Linked DNA regions of Cricetulus griseus. The protein of the gene in region 2 binds, or shares a complex with, the protein of the main gene of each other region. Links are inferred from orthologs where the notes say so. Each region holds a gene or a part of one and is shown on either strand. Other genes may lie near its edges.

Region 1 (8,363 bases), on a different chromosome or scaffold from region 2:
TCCCCCCTCTCATCTGAGAGTCAAGTCCTGAATAAACTCATTTTCACTGACATGTGTAAGCAATAAGCTCTAATAGACTCAACACTGTGAAAACATTACACCAAGTAAAAGCTGCCAAACACAGGAGGACACACACAAGATGTCAGAATTACAAATTCAGAGACAGATTAGTCAGTGCCTAAAAACAAGTGAAGACAGAGAGGATGAAGGCAGGTGATGACTATGGCCCAAGTACTGAGATCCTATTTGGGACAGTCAAGCATTAATTTTGTTTATATTTTGCAACAGGGTTTCTCTGTGTAACAGCTCTGGCTGTCCTGGAGCTTGCTCTGTAGACCAGGCTGGCCCCAAGCCTGCCTCTACCTCTCCAATGGAAGCATCAGAATTAGACAACAGCGATGGCTGTACAATACTGAGGATGAGCTTTATGCCCCTGACCAATAAAAATTGTTACAATTTAAAAAAAAAAAAAAAAAGGCCCAGTGGTGGTGGCACACGCCTTTAATCCTAGCACTCGGGAGGCAGAGGCAAGAGGATCTCTGAGTTCCAGGCCAGCCTGGTCTACAGAGAAAATTCCAAAGCTACACAATGAAACCCTGTCTCCAAAAACAAACAAACAAAAATCATCACAATTTGATATGCACATTTTTAAGTTTTATTTTTTTGAGATTACAACACAATTACATCATTTTCCTCATCCCTTTCCTCTCTCCCATATGCATATGCTTCTAAATACAACCTGCTCAGTCTGTACTTGCATGTGTGTGTCTTCAGGGCCGACCATTTCTTATTGGTAACTAACTGATGTGTTCTTCCCTGAGGAGGGCTATTTCTCCTGCTTTCAGAAGTCTTGAGTTGCCTGTAGTTCTTTGTGTGGCTTGAGGCCTTCTGTTGTGTCTATCCCTGCTCCTCATACACACACTTTGGTATGTTTATTGTTATCTTTGTTCATGCTCCGTTTTAAAGCAATGAAGAATGACTAGAGGAACAGCAAGATGGTTCTGTGGCTAAAGGTGCTTGCTGCCAAGCTTGACAACCCGAACTTAATTCCCAAGGAAAAGGACTCTGAAAAGTTGTCCTCCAACCTCCACATATGCACAGCGGGCACACACAAATAAATACATGTGATTTTAAAAGAACAATTCTTCAAGAAAGGAAACTACTGGCCAGGTAGTATGTCGTACAAGGCCAGCCTGGTCTACAGAGCAAGTTCAAGGACAGCCAGGACTACACAGAGACACCCTGTCTTGGTGGGGGGGAGGGGGGAATTACTAACAACGCTTCTTCGGTGGTCAAATTACAAAAATGATGGCTGCTTTCTGCTTTCCTCTTTATACAGGCACAATTCACCTAATAAGCATGTGTGTTACCCATTATGAAAAGCAGCATACACAGTCTCCTTCAGCTGATAAGTTGCTTGGTGTCCCTCTGTCCTGATGACACTGCAAAGCTCCCCAGTTTAAGCGGCCCTGGATCTCCTGGTGGTCAGCATTCTCAGCCGGGTGCTGTCCCTACCTCAGTTGGAGTGGGCTTCAGTGCTGGCCATCTAGCTGGTGAGCACAAGGGGTGCAGGGCAGGCTAGAAGCCTTTATCGATGCTGTAAGCCTGTAATTCCACAGTCTGTGTTCCTCTGCCAACCCTCCTGCCTCTGGTTTCATAGCAGTGGGCTGCCTCTGTGACCTTGGCATAGCATTCCTCCAAGAAGTGCCTCTTCATAAAAACTTCTAGTCACTATCTGTTGGAATGTCCTATTCAGTACAATGTTCCACTAAGGGCTTTTTCCTAAAGTTGGTTAATATCTTCTTTTTTGCCCCAACACAACTTTGAACTTCTCCACCTGCCTCCATCTACATGGAGAAGTACAAACACGCACAACCATGCCTGGTTATATGCAGTTCTAGGGATTCAACCCAGGGTTTCCCTTCCTGCATGCTAGACAAGCAGTCTACCAATTGAGCTTCAGCCCCAGGCCCTGGTTATTAGCTTCTGCCTCATTAATGTTTTTGGCCTTCCTGTCTAAAATCCAAGTGTAACCAGGGCTACCAAAGGCCTAGTTGGTTTTTTTTGTTTGTTTGTTTGTTTGTTTGTTTTTTGGTTTTTCGAGACAGGGTTTCTCTGTGTAGCTTTGGAGACTATCCTGGCACTCGATCTGGAGACTAAGCTGGTCTCGAACTCACAGAGATCCACCTGCCTCTGCCTCCCGAGTGCTGGGATTAAAGGCATGCGCCACCAATGCCCAGCTTAGTTGTTTTTCTTAAGTGTGGTTGGGTTTCCAAACACTTGTGAGAAACGTTCTCTGTCCAGGATTCGGCCATAGCGCAGGGTGACATAGAAGGTCTTCTTGCTACCATATTGCTGGATTCGTACCAACAGATCCTGGGCATGTTCCTTGGATTCTGACAGGGGTATTATGTCTGACACAGCACAATACGTATCTTGTCGCCACCCAAAGAAGGACAGGTGGGCCACTCGAAGCACAGTACCTGACTCATTCACATACATGAAGCCCACCAGCCTCTGGAAGAAGTAGCTCATCCAACACAGCATGGCCAGGGTGAAGCAAGAGACTCCACTCATAAGGTAGAGTGACTTGACACTCAGGAGGCCCTGTGAGTACCAGTACAAGCCTGGGGGTAGGGCTGTCACAGTCAGAAATGTCTGGGCCAACTTCAGTCGAGATAGAAACCCAAATCTTTTGATGGCTCTGAATCGGTAGATTGTATGGAATTTCTCCGTCTCTGTGCCTGGTGGCTTCTCCTGCAAGGTGGGAGCCTTGCTAGCCACCCACCTGTTGGAATCCCCCTGCCCAGTGCAGCACCACAGCCGATGAAGAGGTCTCCCCCATGTGGCTGGCCCCTGAAATCTTGGCACAGCTCGAAGGAAGACAGACTGGAAAAGAGAGTTTCTTTCAGAATTCAACCATAATAATCACACAAGGAACAAGGCAAAGCTTCCTCCAGAAAGGCTCCAACCAACCCTAGAAAGCCATTGGGGCTTCACTTTTTGTGGAATTCTGCTCTGGATAAGTGCATACTCCTGTTTTTACAAGTAAACAAACAAACAAAGAAACCCTAATCCCAGCCAGTGAGATATCCCATAAGTAAAGGTGCTTGCCACCAAGCCAGATGACTTGAATTGCACTTCTGGAGCCAACACAGTATCGGAAGAAAAATTACTCATGCAGGGATGTCCTTGAGCCTCCACATGCCACGGCACAAGCATATGCACATTGAACACACCAGGATTTTTTTTTTTTAAATTAAAAACTAAGTCCCCTCCCCCGCAAGGGCACGGAAACTCAACAGAATGAATGGGGCCAGGTCTCTCAGGCCGGTCCTTTCCCTTAGGCAGGTCCAAGTAAACACAGGAAAGGTTTACTTTCAGACATTCAGTAAAGACCTACTGACGAGCCAGCAGTGGACTCGAACTTAGGTCCACAAGTCTGTGGGACACTTCCTCAAGGAGTAAACCAATCGGTGTCACAGTGGGAAACCCAAGCATCAAAACTTTGGGGTACTTATCACAGTACCTTTGCATTTCTCCCGACTTCTTTATACGGTAGAACTACTATCTATTAGCCTGGTTGGGAAAGGGGGAACAGCGGAGAAATGCGACACGGAGGCCTTCAAAACACTGCACAACATTTTTCTGGATGAGTAGCAAGTGAGCAAATTCTGAGCTTCAGAGTCAGAGGCGGGCTCTCACGGACACTAGCTGTGCATCCTTGTGCACCTTTCCAAAGAAAGCCTCAGAATATGCTGAGCGAGACATGGTAATCTTAGGCCCTGGACTTGATGCGCGCCCGAGGAGTCGTAGCGACTCTGACCGCCCACGTGACCCAAGGGGAACGGAGGAGGCTGGGAAATAACAGATCATAATACACTTCCCGAATCGGCGGCCCAGGCATCCTTCCTGCCAGTCCTAGGCTCGACCAGGGTCCCCTAACTGCGTACCCTCTTTCACCGCCCACTACCGGCCCTCCGTACCATGATACGGTCTCCTGCTGTGAAAAGTAAACCGACTTGTCCCCGGAAACTCGAAGAGCGCATGAGCGGAAAGTTAAAAAAAAATCCGCATGCGCAAACCAAAAACAAAGTGTTAGATCTCGGGGATTGTAGTTTAAATCTTGTGTCTATGTGAGTGTTCGGTGAGTCACTAGGGAATCATCGTTTTCCCGTCGTGCCTTGGGCTACGGGGCTCGGAATGAACCCGGAAGTTCCGGGTGGAGTTCCGGGTGCCAACAAATCTTCCGAGTGGAATCATGGCCGCGCTCTGTCTCTTCGACGTGGATGGGACCCTGACTGCCCCGCGGCAGGTAGGCGGCGCCCGGGAGGCTCGCGGCTGTGGAGCGGAGCCCGTGCAGAACCCAGACCGCGGTGACCACCGCCCGGGGACCAGGAGACGTGGGTCCTGAGCGGGGTGCGCAGGAAGACGGGGCAAAAAACGACCTCTTCCGAACAGGAAAGAGTTCGGAGTCTTAAAGTTCGGGTCTGAATTTCTTTGGGGGTCCTGGGGACTGGTGGCCCGGATTGTAACTCCAGTTTAGCCCCCCCGACCTGCTGTACCACTTTCCCAGCCCTGTCACCTTTGGCTGTGTCGTCTAGTATATCAAAGGCAGGTTTTCAGATGTCTGACCTTGAGCAAATCACTTCCTCGGAGTCCCCAGTCCACTTTAAACGGGTGTATTGCCTGTTGCATGGGGTGTGTGTGAGGATAACAGAAATTCGTGACAGTGCCGCGCCCACATCAAGCCTCAAAGAGGAGACGCTTGCACCACCCCAACCCCTTCTCTACCACAATCAGCCTTTCTGAGCCACAGTTTGAATTATCTAGTGATGGCATTCAACCACAAGTTCTCCAGAACCCTTACTCAGCTTCATTGCTCAATGCACACTTATGAGTTAAGTCGATAGTAAGGTGGGCAGGTGGCATAGGGTTTAATCCCTGCAGGAGGATTTGAGGGTTCAGAGCCTGGGCCATATAGTGAGTTTGAGGCAAACCTGGGGAACTTGCCTCAAAACAAGAGCCAATAGTAGTCTAGAGCTGGAAGCGGAAATCATATATTGTAAAGGGCTTTTGTCTTTGTAGAACATATGACCTGTAGTAACTACTCAACTTTAGTGCAAAAACAGCCATAGACCAAATGTAAACTGAGTAGCTATGTTCTAATAAATTTATTAAGAGGCCGCTTAGATGGCCCAGTGGGTAGAGTCATTAAACCCTAAGCCTTGGGACCTGAGTTCAATTCCTGGAACCCACATGGTAGAATGACAGAACCAACTCCCACAAGTTGTCTTCTTACCTCTCCTTGTACATTGTGGCACATGTACATGCGTATACATACATAATAAAAATAAAATTATTATAGAAACAAACTTGTTCAGTTGGCCCAGGAGACATAGTGGCCAGGAGTCTACATTTCTAAGCCTTTGTACAGTGTTGAACTTGCAGTTTTGCTAAGATTAAAGGTGCATGCCCCCACCACCCAGCTTCTACCATTCAAATGTAAGGAAACCGAAACCAGTGAAGCCCTGACTGCCTCTCTCTCATAGCAGCTGTAGTTAAAGATCCTGGTCCTCAGGGCACTGTTAGTTGTCCAATTTCCTTTCACTCTGCTAGGGTGGAGGCCACTCTGGGTACTAGATATGCTACTGAGAAAGTGCTTCTGTTTCCCAAGTAAATGAAGATAGATAAACATGAAATACAGAATAGCAAAAAAGCCAGGTGACCCAGAGTGTATTTCCTTGCAGACATTTGAAACAATATGCTTGCAGTGATCATAAGCAATTGTGACAATAAAAGAAAATGTAATTTGAAAGAGAATTTTTTTTATATGCTTGGTACTATAGTTCAAATATTTTGGCAGCAGATCTGTTTATCATCAGCCCTTCCCGCCTCCATCCATGTGTATTCTTAGACGTTACTAATCACAGTGCGGTCTGGAAGAGGAAGAACAGGCTATCTTTTATTGCAGTTGTTGTTATATGATGTGACCTGCATGGATCCAGTCTGGTTAGCATGAACTTCAAAGGTCTGCACATTTCCTGTTTGTGTAGAAATTTGTTGGCCTGGGTGCTTTCTTCCAAATCAAATGTCATTCCGTCCCTAAAGAGTAAGACTTAAGAAAAGTTTTCAAAAAATAAATTAATAAATAAATAAGGACACAGGCCTCCATGAATCATATTCCAACTCTGGCATCCTGAAAAAAAAAAATCTCACATAGAAAGATCATTGACAAATACAGTGAACAGAGAACCCATATCCCTGTCACTTAGGTTAAAAGCAGCTGATATTTAATCAAAATGACTTTGTGTTTCCTCTTAGTAACTTTCTAAATCACAGTCATGCTCCTTCACCATTTTGTATTTTGTTTTTGTTTGTCTGTTAAAAGACAGTCTTAGGAAATCCAACTATGTAGCCAAACCTGACCCTCAATTTCTGATCCTCCTGCCTCCATTTCCCAAGTGTTGGTATTATAGCTCTTGACACTATACCCACTTCTGACATATTAAATCATATGTATATAACATGAAACACCTTTAAACAACAAAAGATTGGGCTGGAGGGATGGTGTCATGGTTAAGAGCACTGGCTGCTCTTCCAGAGGACCCAGCATCCACATAGTGACTCACAACCATCTGTAACACCAGTTCCAAGTGATCTCTGCCCTCAGGCACTGTATGCTTGTGGCATACAAACATATATATTCAAACAAAAACAAACAAAAAAGAAAAACTAGATGTATGTATTATCATAAAAGGTTACCACAACATAAAATAGAAAAAGCAAGTCATTGCACAGGACAGAGAACACCATAAACATTCATAAGTGAGTAGACAAATGTGAATAAATATAACTAAATAGTAATTTTTCTACACACTTAGTAAAAGCACTGGGCTTGTGTAAAAACAGGAACTAAATTAGTTTGCAGTTTCAATCTGGTTATTGTCACTCAAATCATCCTATTTTCCTTCCTGACATACAGAAAATTACAAAAGAAATGGATGACTTTCTACAAAAATTGAGGCAGAAGACCAAAATTGGAGTGGTAGGTGGGTCAGATTTTGAGAAAGTGCAAGAGCAACTGGGAAATGATGGTAAGTGCTAATTACACTCTAGTACAAGATTAACTTCTCATGAGGGTACTGAGACTTGCCGCCAAGTGTCCCCTGCAGTCCCAAACCACCATCACTCACATAGCATGCTTTCTGCTTTCTCTGGGAAAACATCTTCTCTGCCCTTATTTGGCCTTTGTTTTAATCCTTTGACAGAACCCTACACTCAGGTGTAGACAGACTCACCTTGAAGTACATGTCTGTCTTCACTTGTGGAACCTTTTCTCTCCCTACTATTTTACATGTCCCTTACTTCTCTCTCACTTCAGCCCAAACCCCACCTCCTGGCTATGCTGTCCACTCAGATTTGTATATACTTATGGTCTCAGTACCTTGTCCCTGTAGCCCTGATGGAGTGTGTTCCAGGGTTTCCTAATCATGAGAGTCACTAGGATCCACATCACCAGGGTCTCCAGCACAGGACTAGGAAGCTAGAGAGCCTTTGTGATAGGGTCTCACTCTGTAGCCCAAGCTACATCTTCTCCTCCTAAGTGCTAGAGTGACAGCGTCAACCACCACACCTCGCTGGAGCATCTTCTGGTTTCTTTCCTGGAGATGATGGAACAGCAGGTCTCTAAGACCTGAACATATATATTAGCAAGTATCCCAACCCTGCTGATGGAGCACACTCTGGTATAAAGTCTTTGTTGTCTTACAGACTATGTGTTATTCCTCTCTGTTTTCCCAGGGTTTCTGGGGTAGCTGGCCCGTGAGAAATAGTGTGGAGTGCTCTTCTGTGAGCCAGATACTTGGGAGGCTGAGACACGGGAGTCACAAGTTTGATGTCAGGTGGGGTTGGAGAGATGGCTTAGCAGTTAACAGCACTTGCTGCTTTTATGAAAGTTCCCAGGACACACATGACAGATCACAACTGTCTTTAATTCCAGTCCCATAAGGTGCACATACATTCATACAGGTAAAATACTCATACATATCAAATAATTTTTTTGGTTTGTTTATTGAGACAGGGTTTTTCTGTGCCATCTTGGCTGTCCTGAAACTCACAGAGATTCACCTGCCTCTGCTTCCTGAGTGTTGGGATTATAGGCGTGCACCACCATTGACTGGCTTTTTTTTTTTTTTTTAATAAACATAAGTTTAAAATAGACAAAACTGCCCTGTTGTCCCAGAGTCATGTTAGTACTAAGGTCATGCTGGACAGGATAGTTCACTGTAAGATGTCTAGTGCCATCTCTGGCCTCTCCCCACTAGATGCCAGTAGAGTGCGTACACACAGGCACCTGCACA
Region 2 (8,050 bases):
TGACACATACACACACACACATACATACATACAAAATGGTAAATTTATTTTTTAATTTTTTTTTCAAGACAGGGTTTCTCTGTGGCTTTGGAAGCTATCCTGGAACTCACTCTGTAGACCAGGCTAGTCTGGAACTCACAGAGATCTGCCTGCCACCTGGGATTAAAGGCATGTGCCACCACCACCCAGCTAAAACAGTAATTTTTATTTTTGGTTTTGTTTGTTTTTTGAGACATGATTTCTCTGTGTAGCCCTATGTGTCCCAAGACTTTTTCTATAAACCAGGCTGGCCCCCAAAATTGTAATTTTTAGAGATGAATTACAGAGTTCTCATATGAACTTATTCCCAGCTGCTTATGTTAACTTTTTGTTTTGTTTTGTTTTTTGAGACAGGATTTCTCTGTGTAGCTTTGGAGCCTGTCCTGGCACTCTCTCTAGAGACCAGGCTGGCCTCGAACTCACAGAGATCCGCCTGCCTCGGCCTCCTGAGTGCTGGGATTAAAGGCATTCGCCACCAACGCCCGGCCTGCTTATGTTAACATTTTTTAAAGTTATATTAACATTTTTTAAAGTTGTTCGTGTGTGTGTGTGTGTGTGTGTGTGTGTGTGTGTGTGTGTGTGTGTGTGTTCTCATGTACATGAGTGTATGTGTGTGCCTGCAGGTATCCATGGGTGTTGGACCCCTCCTGGAGCTGAAGTTGTAACTACCAGTGGTTGTGTGCTGCCACATGGGTCCTGGGAACTGAACTCACTCTCTGCAACAGCAGCAAGTATTCCTAACTTATGAGCCATCTCTCCAGCCCCTAATGTTGACCGTTATAAAAATAAATTAACTTTTTGGTTTGTTTGTTTAGTTAGTTGGTTGAGACTCTCATTTTGTAGTCCAGACTGGCCTTAAACTCACAAGCCTCCTGGCTCAATGTCCTAACTCTGGGGATTACAGGTGTGCACCACCATGCCCAGCTCAGGAAAACTTCTCCATCTGCAGAGCTACAGGCTTCACGAGGATTGTTTGCTTTCTTTTCCCATCCCCCCACTTGTGTCCTTTGTCTAGGTCAGGAGACCAAGCCAAGATCCTTGCGTTTAGTTTCAACCTCTTTAGATTCTCCAGTAGTTGTTGTTCCTCAGCCATTTGTGAGCCTGACTCCTTCGACAACCCTCAGCAGTGATTTTGATTTTAGATGGTCTCATAATTTGGCCCTGATTCAACAGAAGCTTTTCGGGAAAGATACCAGAAAGGTGACAGCGTGCTTTCTGTGTGTGTCATATCCAGGGCATGTGACGTCACAGTGACTCATGGCTGGTGATGTGGACCATGGTCCTCTGGCTGCCAGGATGTCTACCAATACTCTCTACTATTTTTCTAGGATTATTCCAAGGACTGCAAGATAGAGACACTCAGATATACTATACCACATACAACTGACCCAGGGATACATGGCTCAGTGAAAGCACTTACTTAAAGCAACTAACTGGGGCTCATTCCCTGGTCCTTTTTGTTTGTTCTTAAATTTTTTTATTGCATTTATTTACTGGTGTGTGTGTACCCAAGCACACAAGCCAGGACACACATATGGGAGTCTGTTATCCTTTCCACTGTGTGGGCTCCAACAATTAGACTCAGGTCTTTTTCTTTTTTTTTTTTTTTTTCCAAGACAGAGTTTCTCTGTGTAACAGCTCTAGCTGTCCTGGAACTCATTCTGTAGACCAGGCTGGCATTGAACTCACAGAGATCCACCTGCCTCTGACTCCCAAGTGCTGGCATTAATGGCGAGTGTCACCACCACCCAGCAAGACATGAGTCCTGTGACCTCAGTTTCTTCCAAACACAGAAAAAAAGAAAAAGAAAAGAAAAGATTCATGTTGTGTTTTCTCACCAGCACAACTCCATTGGTGGACTGTGTTCTGACAGGCCTTGAGCTCACAGAGATCTGCCTGCTTCTGCTTCCCAAGTGCTGGGACTAAAGGCGTGTGCCACTATGCCTGGACATTAGATTACAAATGGAGTACCAATTTTCGACTGAGGGCTGTTTTTATAAGGCAAAATTGTAGGGCTGGAAGCCCGAAGATTTCAAAACTTCCGTGGTTACACAGGACAGGACAATGGTATGTGCTTCAGGCAAGGTGCAATTAAGCAGGATGCTGCAGAGGAAATGAGTTTGTTAATTATCTCCTGGGCTGGGGACTTCTACAATTGATAACTATCTGATCCTCTTTGGACCAGAGGAATGTCGACACTGCTCAAGAGTGTGATATCTGGTCCTGTGGACCTTTGTTTAACCTTGTCTGCTGGGCTGCCTTTTGGGAACTCAGAATTTTCTATTTGGGCTTTGGAGTCCAGGTTTTAGACTTTTATTAATTTTCCCCTTTCAAAAACAAGACTCCACATTCAATCATTAGACATACATATAATAATTCGATATATATGTGTTTATATACATAATCAATATTATCTATACACGCACACAACAGTTCCAGGGCATGATCACATCACCTACACATACACTCCAAAGGCCTCTCAGCCCTCAGTGTAGGCAGTTTGAAGAGTAAACCCAGACTCCCTGTTGGGGAGGGAGAGAGGGGTGCCAGGAATGCATGTCCTTTTCTCACAGTAGCCCTTGTTGTACTTATATGGCTATTTTACATAGATGAATTCAAATCTCAAAGATTCAGATTAAAGGGGGCTAAAAGTGCTTGCAACCATGCATAATGACCCAAGTTTCATCCCCAGTATCCACTTGATGGAAGGACCATTTCCCCTAAATTGTCCTCTGGCCTCCACGCGAATGTGCTCACTTAGACGCACACAAAATAAACAAACATAACTTGGAAGGAACCCTGTTAAAGCTGCTGGCGGCGCGGCCCACCTGAAGTTCCAGCTACTCGGGAGGTTGAACCCTCAGGACTTCTGGAGTCCGGGGTTTTGAGAATAGCCTGAGCACCATAGCAAGACCCTGACTCAAACAACTCAAAAGCAATTGTTTGGTAACATTAATACACCCTGGGGCTTGGGGCTGGTTGGGAGTGTGCTTGCTCAGCACGCAAGAAGCCCTGGGTTCCATCCCCACTCTGCACTGAACCGGACGTGGTGCTTCAGGTCCCTAACAGTATTTCGTCTGTAACAACTGACATTCCATCACACTTCGGGTGAGGAAACTGGACGGGACGGACTCGGCGCCGCCGCGGCAGGAACCCAAGGCCCCAGGCTCCCGCAGTTGGGTGAGGGGCAGGGATCAGTGCTCTCCCTCCTTCCTATTGGTGAGCGTCTCCTTGAGGGCGGGACCTATCGTCTCTGGCTTTTCCGATTTGCTGTCGCCTTCGGCCGGTAACCGGAAGCTCTGTGACAGAACATGAGGGCTGCCAGCGGTGGCACCTAGCCGGCTGTGTACCGCCGTCGGCCGCGTGAGTAGGTGGGTCGCGCGTGGGAGGGCGATGGGACAGTCTGGGGTTCAAGGGCGTCCACCTCCAGGCCTGGTAGAGCCGGAGAGGACAGCCTTCACCTCGGCCGCAGGGTGAGGGCCCCGTGACCTTTGGGGCTCGTGCTTGGGGACGGGCGAGGAAAGGCTGCTCGGCACCGTGTGCTTAAATGTCCGGTTTCGCGGGTGCTGGAGCAGCTCAGGGAGGCCACGCAGCCCTTGTGCGGTGAGGCAGGCTTTGGAGACCTGGGAGCGCGGCAGCCCACGCACACACGTACATACACGCCACCTCGCTGTAAGGATTCATCTGCTTATCCGTACTCAGATGGTCGGTGTTGGGCACTTACCATGTACTAGGGCACTGTCCCTGCTGGTGGAGGCATATAAATGAGAAAAACAGATTAAAAAATATATTATCTAAGAGAGGCAATTGCTGAGCAGATCGCAAACGGAGCAGATCATTTCGTGACTTCAAATAATGATTGTTGCAGTGTGTTCCATGAAACAAGAGTCTTTATGTATCCCAAGCTGGCCTCGAACTCTTTTTTTGGGGGGGGGCGCGGGGTGGGGCGGGTGTTAGAGACAGGGTTTCTCTGTGGCTTTGGAGGCTGTCCTGGAACTAGCTCTTGTAGACCAGGCTGTTTTCAAACTCACAGAGATCTATCTGCCTGCCTCTGCCTCCCGAGTGCTGGGATTAAAGGCGCGTTCCACCACCGCCTGGCTTGGCCTCGATCTTCCTGCTCCAGCCTTCTGAGTGCTGGATTACAGGCACGCACCAAGATGATAAGCAGTAGGCAGAGGGTAAAACAAGTTCAAAGCCTGTGAGACCAATAAACTTGTCTTGTTTCAGAAACAGTGTGGCTGGAGCTACAAGGATAGGGGCAGTTCAGCAGGTAGACTCCATATGAGGTCGATTTATTTATTTAATTAACTTATTTTTATTTCATGTACATTGGTTTGCCTGTATAAGGGTGTTGGATTCCTTGGAACTGGAGTTACAGACAGTTGTTAGCTGCCATGTGGGTGCTGGTCCTTTGGAAGAGCAGTCAGTGCTCTTAACCACTGAGCCATCTCTCCAGCCTCCCTACCCACCCTTTCTGATATTTACTTACTTTGAAGTTTTTTAGTTATTGGGGTGGGGTGGGACACACATGTGTGCCATGTTGCATGGTGGAGGTCAGAGGAGAGCCAGGGAGTTTTATCCATACACCTTATGCTGGTTCCTGGGATTGAACTCAGGTCATTAGGCTTGCATTGTTGCAGCAGCAAGTACCTTTCTCAGTTGAATCTTCTGTCCTGGCTCTTATTTATTTACAGTTTAGACGGGACTTTATGGTAACTCAACACTGTCATGAGCTCACTAATTACTACCAGCTGGTCTGATACTGGATGCAATTCCTCCTGCCTCAGACTCCACACTGCTGGCTTTACAGCCACAACACTTGTCTCAAGTCTTGTTTTTTTGTTTTTTTGTTTTTTTCCTTTTTGAGGTAGAGTCCTACTATGTACCCTGGTTGGTCTGGAACTTGCTGTGTCTATGTAGATCAGGCTCACCTCAAACTCAGACATCTGTCTGCCTGTGTCTCCTGAGTGCTGGGATTACAGGTATGTGCCATCACACCCAGCATTTTTATGTGTTCATGTGTGGGTATGTGGATGTATGTTAGTGCATGTACACATATGCACATGTGTATAGGAGGACAAATGTCAAACTTGGATGTTGTTCCTCAGGAGCAGTCCACTTTGTGCTTTGAGACAGGGTCTTTTCACTGGGACCTGTGGCTCACTGATTAGGCAGGCTGGCAGGCCATCGAGCTCAGGGACCTGCCCATTTCTGCTTCCCCAGTGCTGGGATTACAAGTGCATGTCACCTCACCTGGCTTTTTATGTGGGTGCTGGGGATCAAACCCAGGTCCTTGGACTTTCAGGGCAAGCATTTTACCAATAAAGGCATCTCTCCAGCCCCTTAGTTTGCATTGTTAGAGCTTTCTTTTCCAATGGAGGGAAGTAACTACTGGACAGGAGAGAGTGGACACCTATGCAGGAAAGCAAAGCCGGTCCTGGTGCTGTGACCTACAGCAAAGGGGACAGATTGGGAAGTAGTCTCCAGGACTGTTGGACAGACTGAATAAGGACATGGTGGACTCTAAATGACTCCTGCTTTATGGCTTGAATAGTGAGGAAGGGTGGTAACCCTGGCTAACCTCCAGATCAAAGGTATGTCTGTTGGTATCCCATGACTGGAGTTTGAGATGGCTGGTTTGTACCAAAATTATGTTTAGGTATGGGGTGAAAACATGAGGGAACCATGAGCACTCACTGAGAGTATTCACTGCTCTGATTAAACATGTAAGAGCCACCTATGGCTGTCACAGTGCATATTCCCACACAGGATATCTGAGTTAAGAGTCAACATTTTACAGGTCCTAGAACACAATCTGCAAAGCAAAGGTTTAGATTCTTCTTATCTAACTATATGCCAAGCAAGTATTCTACCATCAGCCCCTCACTGGGGCAGTCTAGGCAAGGGCTCTACCACTGAACCATGCCCCCAGCAGCTCACTGGGGTTCTCACTATGCAGCCCTAGCTCGCCTGGAACTTACTAAGATCTGCCTGCCTCTTCCTCCTGAATACTAGGAATAAAAGTACATTACCATGCCTGGCTCAACTAGACAAAGGTGTGTGTGTGTGTGTGTGTGTGTGTGTGTGTGTGTGTGTGTGTGTGTGTGTGTGTGCGCGCGCATGCGCGCGCACACAAGGATGGAGCGAGTGCCAGGACAGGCTCCAAAGCTACACAGAGAAACCCTGTTTCGAAAAACCAAAACCAAACAAACAAACAAACAAAAAACCCAACCCTTATTTGTACATCCCTGAGTATGTATATACAGATGTGCCATGACACCAGCACAGAGGACAACTTGTAGAATTCAGGTCTCTCCTTCCACCATGTGGGTCCTGGGGATCAAACTCAGGTCCTTAGACTTGGCAGCAAGCATTTTTTACCCAGTGAACCATCTCACCAGTCCCATCTCTTTTTTCACCCTGGGTATTTGAGATAGAACTCAGGCACTTACCAACTGAGCTGTCTCGATGGCGGCTCTATTTCTTTCTCTTGCCTGAGTGCTACTACTGGAAGTTCTGGTGCAACACTGAGAAGTGGCCAGACTGCACACCCTTGTCTGGATTCTGAACTGTGGCAAAAGAATCTCTCATTGGGCATGGTGGCACATGTCTTTAATCCCAGATCTCAGGAGGCAGATCTCTTGAGTTCAAGGCCAGCTGTGGAGGGCGCAGCTTACAGACAGCACTAGAGAATGAAGAAACTGACACCTGTTTTCCATCCATAAGGCCATGAGTGGATGTGACTGCTATTCTGTAAAGCCAGCCCTCATCGAATCCCCAAGAATCCTGAGCATTCTCTGTCAATAGAGCCCATCCTCATGAAAGAGGTCGAGTGTGCTTTACAAAAGAGCCTGCTATTATGCTTATTCCCCCTAGACTTCTAAGTACTATTTCTCAGTCAATAGAACCCATCCTTTGCTGGGCAGTGGTGGCTCACACCTTTAATCCCAGTACTTGGCAGGCAGAGGCAGGTGGATCTCTGTGAGTTCTACAAAGCCAGTTCAAGGAAAGCCAGGGCTGCATAGAGAAACCCTGCCTCGAAAAACCAAAAAGAACCCATCCTGATGCTTATTACAAACCCTTCCTCCCTAGGCTCTTGTCCTGATCACTGTTCTCAGTCAGCAGAATCCATTCTTGTGGGAAAGGTCATAGGGGCTTTGCTACAGAGATGCACTTTGCAAGGCAGTTTCCATGTAGTCATGCCTAATGCTTTGTCAGGATAATTGTCACATGACATGCAAACTTTTTTTTCTAAAATTTTACTTTGTTTAAATGTGTAAGAAATAAACCACTTGACATTAGACTCCAGAAGTTTGGACCCAGCACCAGCTAAGTTGTGCTTAACCTCATCCAGATTGTCTCACCATTGATCATGACACTTACAGGGAACCCCACAGCCAGCCTGTTCTACATAGTGAGACCTTGTTTCAAACAAATAAAAAGTAAGAGTTTTCTGCATTGTCTGAAATAATGTAATTTGGGGTTTTTGTTCTATTAATATATTAAATAAATTTTCAGATATTAAACTACCCTTGCATTTTGGAGACAAATTCTCTTAGCTATGATGTAGAATCCTTTTTGTATGTTTGTAAATCCACTGCAAGAGAACTTTACAGCTATATTCAAGAGGCAATGATTTGTAGTTTTCTTAGTGTACCTGTGGGTTTTGGTATTAGTGTATCCAGGCCTCAGAGAACATGTTAGGAAGAGTTTTCATTATCCTTGCTACCATGGAAACTTTCTGGAGGTGGGTGTGTTGGTATACACCTGTAACCCCAGCACTCAGGTAGAAGCAAGAGGGTCAGTTTTAGATACATAGCAAGTATGAAGCCAGCCTGGGCTACAAGAAAACCTGCCTCAAAAAACAGGGAAAGAGCTGGGCGTTGGTGGTGCACGCCTTTAATCCCAGCACTTGGGAGGCAGAGGCAGGTGGATCTCTGTGAGTTCGAGGCCAGCCTGGTCTATACAGAGAAAGCCTGTCTTGGGGGAAAAAATGAAGAGTAACTTCCAG
Region 3 (8,225 bases), on a different chromosome or scaffold from region 2:
AGCAGGGTGAAGACATGCAGTCAGCCTACCTGCTTCCCTGGCAGGAGTGGCTTGTAGGTTATCAGGGAGTGCCTGCTGGGTTTGGGGGCTGGGGTAAAACAAGTGGAGGGAGGGGATGGAGGGGAAGGTCTTTGGGAGCCACAGAAGATGTGGGTGGAGGTGGAGGAAGGCTTCAGCAGATGTCCTGTTGCAGAGGTAGGGATGAGACTTGGGAATTGGATTTGGAGATGAGGTAGTGTTGAAAGTCTTCAGTTAACTCACCTGTTTTCCTGGTCTGCTCGGCTGATGTGTTCCCAGGGAATTCCTGCTGGTGGTGAAAGCTGGGATAATGGGATGCTTTAGGGGAAAGAAGGCTGGAGAACTTTATGATCTTTTGGACATGGGGTCAGAGCTTGGGAGGAGGCTAAAATAAAAATATTTTAACTAGCTATTGTATAATTGTAACAATATAGCTTGATAGGGACAGATTCTTAAATAAGCCCTAGCAATAAGCACAGCTCTAAAGACTAACCCCTAATCACCTATGCTAACATCATAATGAGAACCCCTAATTCCTAACTAACATTAACATTTTTCATAGGGAGACTACTGCTGTAATGAAACACCATCAACAAACGCAAATTGGAGAGGAGAGGATTTACTTTGTTTACATTTCTACATCTGAGTCAATCATCAAATGAAGTCAGGACAGTAACTCAAGCAGGAACTTGGAGGTGGGAGCTGATCCAGGGGTCATGGAGAGGTGCTTCTCGTTGGCTTGCTTCTCATGCTTTGCTCAGCCTGCTTTCTTATAGAACCCAGGATCATCAGCCCAGGGGTGGCCCCACCCACAATGGGCTAAGCACTGCCCCAACCATCAATCACTAGTTAAGAAAATGCCCCATAGGCTTCCCTATTGCCGGATCTTATAGAGACATTTTCTCATTTGAGGTTCCCTCCTCTCAAATGACTTTAGCCTGGTTAAGGTGATTTAAAACTGGCTAGGACAACTGACTTCTTATTAACTTGACACAAACACACACTGTTCAATTAGAACATTTCCTTTCTCATTTGTCCCCAAGGTAGCACATTAATATCAATATTATAAAATACAACATAAATAAGTTCTAAGGACCCAGTCTTTACAAATTCAAATGCATTAAAAGCTCTCTTCAAAATATCCAGTCTCTTAAAAAACCCAAAATGTCTTTAAAAGTCAAAATCTCTCAACTATGGGCTCCTGTAAAATAGGAAAATAAGTTACATACTTTCTTACTTCATGAGAGAAGAACCAGGGCACCATAACAACCTTAACAAAGCAAAATCAAACTCCAATGGTGTAAACAACCCAGGTATCCAATGTCTAGTGTCCACTTCTGATCTTCAGAGCTCCTCCAGAGTGCACAGGTCACTTCTCCAGCTCTGCCTCATGCATAGCTTATCTTCTAGGATTGGGCTGACTCCACTCCATGGCTGCAGCTGTTTTTGGCCGTTGTCCCATAGTTCTGGCATCTCCAAAATTCTGGGGTCTTCTACTGTAAGTGGGCTGCACTTTAACCAATAGCCTATGCTAGGCTTTCTTTTTGGTGCCAAGCCTCAACTCCTCTCCATTACACCTTCAGTTTTTGTACTTCAACTGGTATTCGGGGTGTACCTTCACCAATGGTCTTTTCTGGCCTCTTGCAGTGACAGCTGCTCTCCAGGACCCCTTTATGCTTTCAAAACCAATACCACCTGAGATTTTTTACACATGATCAAGTTTGGTTGCCAGAACAAGGTACAAGCTTGATGGCCTCTACAAGACAGCTTGTGTGTCTGATCCTAAGGAAACACTTCCCAGAAGACTCTGCTTCGGTGATGATGGTGTCTTCTTAATCACCACTAGGCTCTCAGCTCCAGCTGACCAGCATCAGTTGCCCCAGGACAACAAAGAGAAACCTTTGTACCTTGCTGGTCTCTTGTTAGTCACAACTCACTCTTTAGCCCCAGCAGACCAGAATGAGTCTTTATCTAAAATAGCAAATGGCCCTTTAAACCTCCCTCTGAACTTCAGAAGCCAGGCCTCCATCATCTGCACTGCTTTCAGTATTATCTTCGTACTTCCCACATTACACCTCATCTAAATCCTAACCCTCATCTAACCCCAAAGCCTACCCTAACCTTTAGTATTGAATACATAATGTTGGGAAGTGAGGACTCAAGAATGACATAGGATTAAGGTTTAATCAGCTAGGCTCCGCAGTAAATACCATTGCCTGAAAAGCAAAAACATACCCAGGACCTAATTAGGTATTTTAAAACATGCTGAGTTTGAATTGCTCATACAATACACAGATAGGTTAAGTACAACTGGACTCCTGGTTATATCCAGTCTAGAACATGAGTTTGGACAACACTAGCAGATTACACTGTCGTGGGGACTCCTAGGTCACCTGGAGATCTTAAATCAGTGGAGCAGAGGGTCAGCACCGATGTCAACCTTTAAGAGGGCAGTCTGTGGGCTATCAAGATGGATTAGTCACTTGTGACTAGGCCTAGAGACCGAGCTTCAATCCCTGAGAAGTTGTCTTCTGCCTCTACACATGTGCTCTCTCTCCCTCTCCCTCTCCCACACATAAATATCTAAATAAATAAATAAATAGGTGAATTGAGTGCTTTAGTTAGGGTTTCTATTGCTGTGATGAAAAACCATGACCAAAAGCAAGTTGCAGAGGAAAGGGTTTATTTGGCTTATACTTCCACAGCACTGTTCATCACTGAAGGAAGTCAGGACAGGAACTCAAACAGCGCAGGATCCTGGAAGCTAGAGCTGGCAGAGGCTATGGAGGGTGCTACTTACTGACTTGTTCCTCAATGCTTGTTCATCCTGCTTTCTTATAGGAGCCAGGACTACCCAGAGATTATAGGACCACCCACAATGGGCTAGACCTAGTCTGTAGTTCAGGGACCTGGAAAAGTCCCTAAGTGTACTAGTCTTGTTTTTTGCTTGCATAGTTTTGATTCTTGCTAACTGTTCTTGCTAACCATAGAGTGTCAAACATGCTTTCTGTGCATAAAAGGCAAAGAACAGTCAGGCTCTGGGCTACCTAAGTTGGGCAAGTACCCTGTGTAGCTGGCAAATAAAGACTTTCTATTGGTCTTAAGAGCCCACCTGTTTTCTGAGGAGTTATCTTGCAACAATGAATGCCACACTGGTTCACTGGATGTGACCAGCCCAGAAACAAAGGCATCACAGACATAGGAATAAACCCTGATGTGAGAGCTGGACCCTGCCTCATCTTACTTCCTCTAACACATGACATTTCATAAAAAACCATGGTGTTTATAGTTTCACAGGGAAGGCCATTGACATAAGGGAAGTGACTTGCCCAAGGAGTGGTGGAGAGAGCAAATGTCTGAAGATTGTGGCCATCAAGGGCCAGGTTAACTGGTGTATGACAGAGGGAGTGGTAGACTTAGGAAGGCATGAAACAGCATGCCATTATCGCTTTATGTTATCTCTCCTACAAAAGATATCACTCCACTAACATACTGAAAAGGATTTGGTAGAGGTGGGTTAGTAAAATGGGGCTCTTGTTGTTTTTTATACTCATTTGATAATATTCTAAGTACTATATCAAGTGAGATGAGAACAAAGCAAGGTTGTGATTCTAAGTCTATATGCCTAAATTAGTCTTCTACTGAAGGGACCTGGTGAGAATAAGCACATAGACTCCAGGGATCCCGTTTTCGGGAGCCCAGATAGTCCTTTAGCAATTTGACTTCTAAGCATTTTTGCCTTATTGGGAAAATTGTAACAAGAAACACACACACACACACACACACACACACACACACACACACACACACACTCCTAGCCTGTTCGGATGGTTGAAAAAAATTACAATTTCTGAATTACATATTCAGAAGTTACATACAGCATATTCCGGATCGACCCGTTTGACAGCCTTGATTAAGGTTTCCTCCAGAGCGGAACATCATGAGGCGGCGCAGCCCGTGCATTATTAAGAAGCGCGGACTAGCTTCCGGTTGCGAGCTCACTTAGGGAGAGACTTTGGCTACTCCGCCTGCGGAAGGCTTATCGGACGCGGGTGATTTGCGTCATCAGGAGCCCGGGGAGCCTTCCGGTGACTTAAAGCCTGGTGTCAAGAACAGCATGTCTGGCTGCGGGTTCTTGTCTCGTGGCGCGGCGGCTCTGGCCGCGGCGGCGACTGCTGTGCGAGCTTCCCGAGTGCCTAGGATCTTCACGGGGACGCACCGCCGGCTGCACACCAGTCTGCAGAGCTGCTCTTTTGCCAAGGAGCTCTTCCTGGGCAACATCGAGCAGGTAAGGCAAGCCCTGGCTCCCTTGTCCTATTTCCACCTTCGTTGGTACTTGGCCGGAGTCCTTAAAAGACAAACGCCGGAGAGGCTGGGCTCGGGGAAATGTGGCTTTAATAGGGTCGCGGAGGTTTTTGTTTTGAGACAGGATCTCCTTAAGTATTATTAGCCCAAACTGCCTCTGGACTCACTCCGTATACCAGGCATGCCTTTAAATCGTGACTCTCCTGCCTCAGTCTCCAGAGTAGTGATTTAGAGGCGTGTGCCATCACACCTACCTTTCCAACTATTCCTTGTCAGGGAAACTTGGGAAATCCTTGAAGTGGTTATTACGAAGACATCATCTCCTTGTCCAGGCTGGGAGATATGATTTCTAAACAACTCATTCCGTGCAGCTTCTCTGGCTTACCTTCAGCTCTGCGACTTCCTCCAAGTTTCCTTTCCCCTTTCAGAGCTCCACAACCCAGCTTGTAGCAACCTCCAGGCCATCACGTTGAGAGTGAGAAGGCTTTTCTTTTCTTTTCTTTTTTTTTTTTTTTTTTTTTTTTCGAGACAGGGTTTCTCTGTGGCTTTGGAGCCTATCCTGGAACTAGCTCTTGTAGACCAGGCTGGTCTCGAATTCACAGAGATCTTACCTGCCTCTGCCTCCCGAGTGCTGGGATTAAAGGCGTGCGCCACCAACGCCCAGTGAGAAGGCTTTTCAATGAATTTGAGTTCGATTCTTTTTAGTTGTGTTGTCTTTAGACAGTCTTCTTGTTAGACCCCTGGAAAACTCAGGCTTCCAGGGTCTTAGCCCACAACCGTGGTCACCCAATCACCAGGTGGATTCGAAAACTTGCTGCAAACTTCATGAGGCTTTATTGTTGTTGTTAGCTCGGGTCTTTCACCCACCCACCGTGGCAGATGGCTAGCAAAGACACCTCGGAACCAGCTGCATAGAGATCTTGTAGGGCAGCGTAAGGGGCGTGTCTAGGGGTACGCACAGGCTCAGGATTGGTGTGCTTCCATGCTTGGAGGGCTTGCCCTGTGTTGATTGGCCAATTGGTTGTTATGGCCCTTAGGCCCTCCCAGGGTGGTTGCTATGCTCTGTGTGTCATTGCTGAGCACTTGTCTGTAAAGCATACCCAGAGCCGTAAACATAGTGCCACCTGCTAACTTCTGATTGGTTCCTTGCCATGAGGCAGGCGTCTGACTTCTAGAGACTAGGACAAGGTCATGGCAAGCACATGTTACTGTCATGGCTGCCGAAATGGGGAGCTGGTCCCTTCATTCTCATATTGTCTATAGCCCTCTCTTTTCATCTACAGCAAGCCTCTTGATGAACTAATCAGTGTCCTGGCTTTAAATATCGCCTCTATGCCTATGACTCAGATTTACTTTTCACCTTAAAGTTCTTCCCTTAATTCCAGACCTATATCTTCCTTTCTGCTCAAAATCTCCCCGAAAATGTCTAATAAGCATCTTTGATAAGCGTATATAAAAAGTCTCCCCTGGATCCCACCCACTGTTGCCTTTCCCAGCAGCTTGTTTACCACAGATAATGGAAACTCTGATTCAGCACATTCTCCCGTGACATCTTGATTCTTCTTATTCTCATAGCCCACATTGCATCCTATAGTAAGTAAATCTTTCTTTGTCTTCAAGTTACATTTAGAATCTGACCACTTTTAGCTACTTCCTGGATCAGTGGAACACAGTTCTCAAAGCATTTCTAGACCTTGATCAGGACAGTGGCAGTGATACTTTAGAGTCTTGTGGGAGGGAGTGTCTCAGTTACCCATGCCAGTGGCTGCCACAGGGACAAGTGGGAGATTGAATGGGTGAGGTTTGTGTGACATTAGCAGACTGACCTACAGCCAGTTGGCTTTCTGTTTGTTTGTTTGTTTGTTTGTTTGTTTTTTGTTCTTTTCGAGACAGGGTGTCTCTGTGGCTTTGGAGGCTGCCCTGGAACTAGCTCTTGTAGATCAGGCTGGTCTCTAACTCACAGAGGTCTGCTTGCCTCTGCCTCCTGAGTGCTAGAACTAAAGGCATTCGCCACTTGGCTTTTATAATTGACTTCTGCAGTTGAATTACTTGAATAACAGGTTCTGTTGCTTTACCAGCTTGGAAGATGCTGATTGAAATCAAGCTCCAGTCCCATGGTGTGCCTCATTCAGTTCTGCCTCTCATTACTAGAGGGTATTTTCCTCCTGGCCCCCAGAATCTCCTCATGAAGTTTTATGTTGTTTGCTTTGGTTTTGTTGTTTGTTTTGTTTTGTTTGGGGGGCAATTGTATTTGTTTGGTGTTTTTGTTGTTGTTGAAATGGGAGCTTGATGTGTAGCCCTGGCAGGCCCAAGATTCACTATGTAGAACAGGCTAGCCTTGAACTCACAGGAGTCCACACTAACAGAGGACATGAAAGTTGGTTAAATCCAGTCACACAGGTAAAGTGTGGCTAAGTCAGGTTGAATTCTTGTCCTGGGATCCTGAACCTCTAATGTTCAACACAGGAAGCCAGTAGCCATGTCCTAAGAAACAGTTGCTCAAGGGAAGACATGCATGGTGATTGGAATATGTTCTTACTGTTGGGAACATTTGAGCTCACACAAAGAATGATTGATGTCTGTTTTAATGAAGAGTCCTCATAGCCATTGTCTCACACAAGTCTCAAAGGAATCTTGGGGAAACGTGGCCTGCACATTGTTGGTGAGAAAATGGAAGTACTGCTGGAATCTGACCTCAAAACTAGTAAATAAATAGCAGGGCATCTAAATGGAAGTCCCCAGCTACTTGTTTATAGGACACTCTGCACCCTTATTAGTGATAACAAGGGTGAAAATTAAGATTTAACTCTCCTGCATGTACAAGAAAATAGATAACAATAGAGCCTTAGACGTAAGCCCATCCCTGAAGGATCTTGTGAAGTCATGTCTCTCTCTGCCTCCCTCCTGGGACCAGATGTGTAACCTAACTCATTTCCCTTCCCTTCCCTCCCCTTCCCTTTTGATAAACACTATAATGAGAAGTTCCTGGAAATTGAATTTGTCATACTTGTTTTTTACTTTTTAGAAAGGAGTTTTCCCATTTCCAGAGATTAGTCAAGATGAACTTAGTGAAATCAATCAGTTTGTTGGACCAGTGGAAAGATTCTTTACCGAAGAAGGTGTGTATGGTTTTCTTTGTCATTGTCTTCCCAGGGTCAATTGGATTGCTTACATAAGAAGCCCTATAGAGAGAGGAAGCTCTTAGTGTGGTTATTAAATTACAATAGTTTCTACTCATAATAGGACCTTCAGGGATCACTCAGTTTAGTTAAAAGACACTAATTCAATACTCCTCTAGTCTCTGTGGTAAGGAACCTCTTTGAAATGTTTCTACACTGCAGCAGGCTAAAACTTGTATATAACATAATTAAAGTGAGTAACTAGAAAAGATGAAAATAGCTGAGGTCAGGTAGTTCACATACTGTGGCAAAAGCTATGTAGTTTTAGAAGCTTCTTTTGGTGGCTTTTGTGGAGTTTCTGTAGACGACTGTGTTGCTGATGAGCAGTTTTCTTCATGTCCAGCCTGGAGTTCTTGTCTCTGACCTTCTGCACTGGCCAGACTTTCATTATGATGTTGACCAGGTGGCAAGGCCAGGCTTCCTTGTCGTCTTCCTTATTTTAGGGACATAGTAGCACCCACCTGTTATCCTTAGGTCTTGAGAGGCAAAGCAGAAGGACTGAGATTTTTGAGAGACCAGATTACATTTAGGGAACCTTCAGTTCTCTTTATTGACTTGTGTATACATAAGTATAGATTATGATGTTTTTAACACTTTACAATAGTGATAGTGTTGGATTTCATAGCCAAAGTATACTTTAATTAACTTGATGCATACAGACAGTACAATTATAGACATAGAGCTGGTGATTGCTCACTTCTACTCTTGCATGGGGTTTTGCAT

Evidence for each region. Proteins that work in one complex are often made in the same cells at the same time.
Region 1: Ecsit (region 2) and Tmem186 share a complex: the UniProt entries of both Homo sapiens proteins name them as parts of the mitochondrial complex. The link is inferred for Cricetulus griseus from reciprocal best matches to the Homo sapiens genes ECSIT and TMEM186.
Region 3: the proteins of Ecsit (region 2) and Acad9 are in contact, whole or in part, in a cryo-EM structure (PDB 8PHE), measured with the Homo sapiens proteins. The link is inferred for Cricetulus griseus from reciprocal best matches to the Homo sapiens genes ECSIT and ACAD9. Residues at the interface, in NP_057665.2 of Homo sapiens: Pro321, Glu322, Glu323, Trp324, Asn325, Leu326, Tyr327, Tyr328, Pro329, Met330, Leu332, Asp333, Leu334; in NP_054768.2 of Homo sapiens: Leu180, Thr181, Asp188, Ala189, Ala190, Ser191, Ile192, Lys228, Lys239, Asp240, Lys241, Ile242, Phe293, Ala296, Met297, Leu300, Ile431, Met434, Tyr435, Leu438, Thr439, Leu441, Gln442, Gly445, Thr449, Leu516, Gly520, Lys521, Ile523, Met524.

Annotation. Positions count from the first base shown.
Region 1 is NC_048600.1:38,133,790-38,142,152, reverse strand, and holds Tmem186 (transmembrane protein 186), read right to left. Parts: upstream 4,138-8,363; 5' UTR 4,050-4,137; coding exon 3,987-4,049; intron 2,890-3,986; coding exon 2,242-2,889; 3' UTR 647-2,241; downstream 1-646. Other genes in the region: Pmm2 (phosphomannomutase 2), read left to right, coding at 4,262-4,315, 6,986-7,097. UniProt on the Homo sapiens protein: As part of the MCIA complex, required for efficient assembly of the mitochondrial complex I.
Region 2 is NC_048597.1:134,977,087-134,985,136, reverse strand, and holds the start of Ecsit (evolutionarily conserved signaling intermediate in Toll pathway, mitochondrial), read left to right. Parts: upstream 1-3,279; 5' UTR 3,280-3,402; exon of another isoform or gene 3,403-3,410; intron 3,411-4,906; exon of another isoform or gene 4,907-5,021; intron 5,022-8,050.
Region 3 is NW_023276806.1:113,497,130-113,505,354, reverse strand, and holds the start of Acad9 (complex I assembly factor ACAD9, mitochondrial), read left to right. Parts: upstream 1-4,088; 5' UTR 4,089-4,135; coding exon 4,136-4,306; intron 4,307-7,348; coding exon 7,349-7,442; intron 7,443-8,225. UniProt on the Homo sapiens protein: As part of the MCIA complex, primarily participates in the assembly of the mitochondrial complex I and therefore plays a role in oxidative phosphorylation.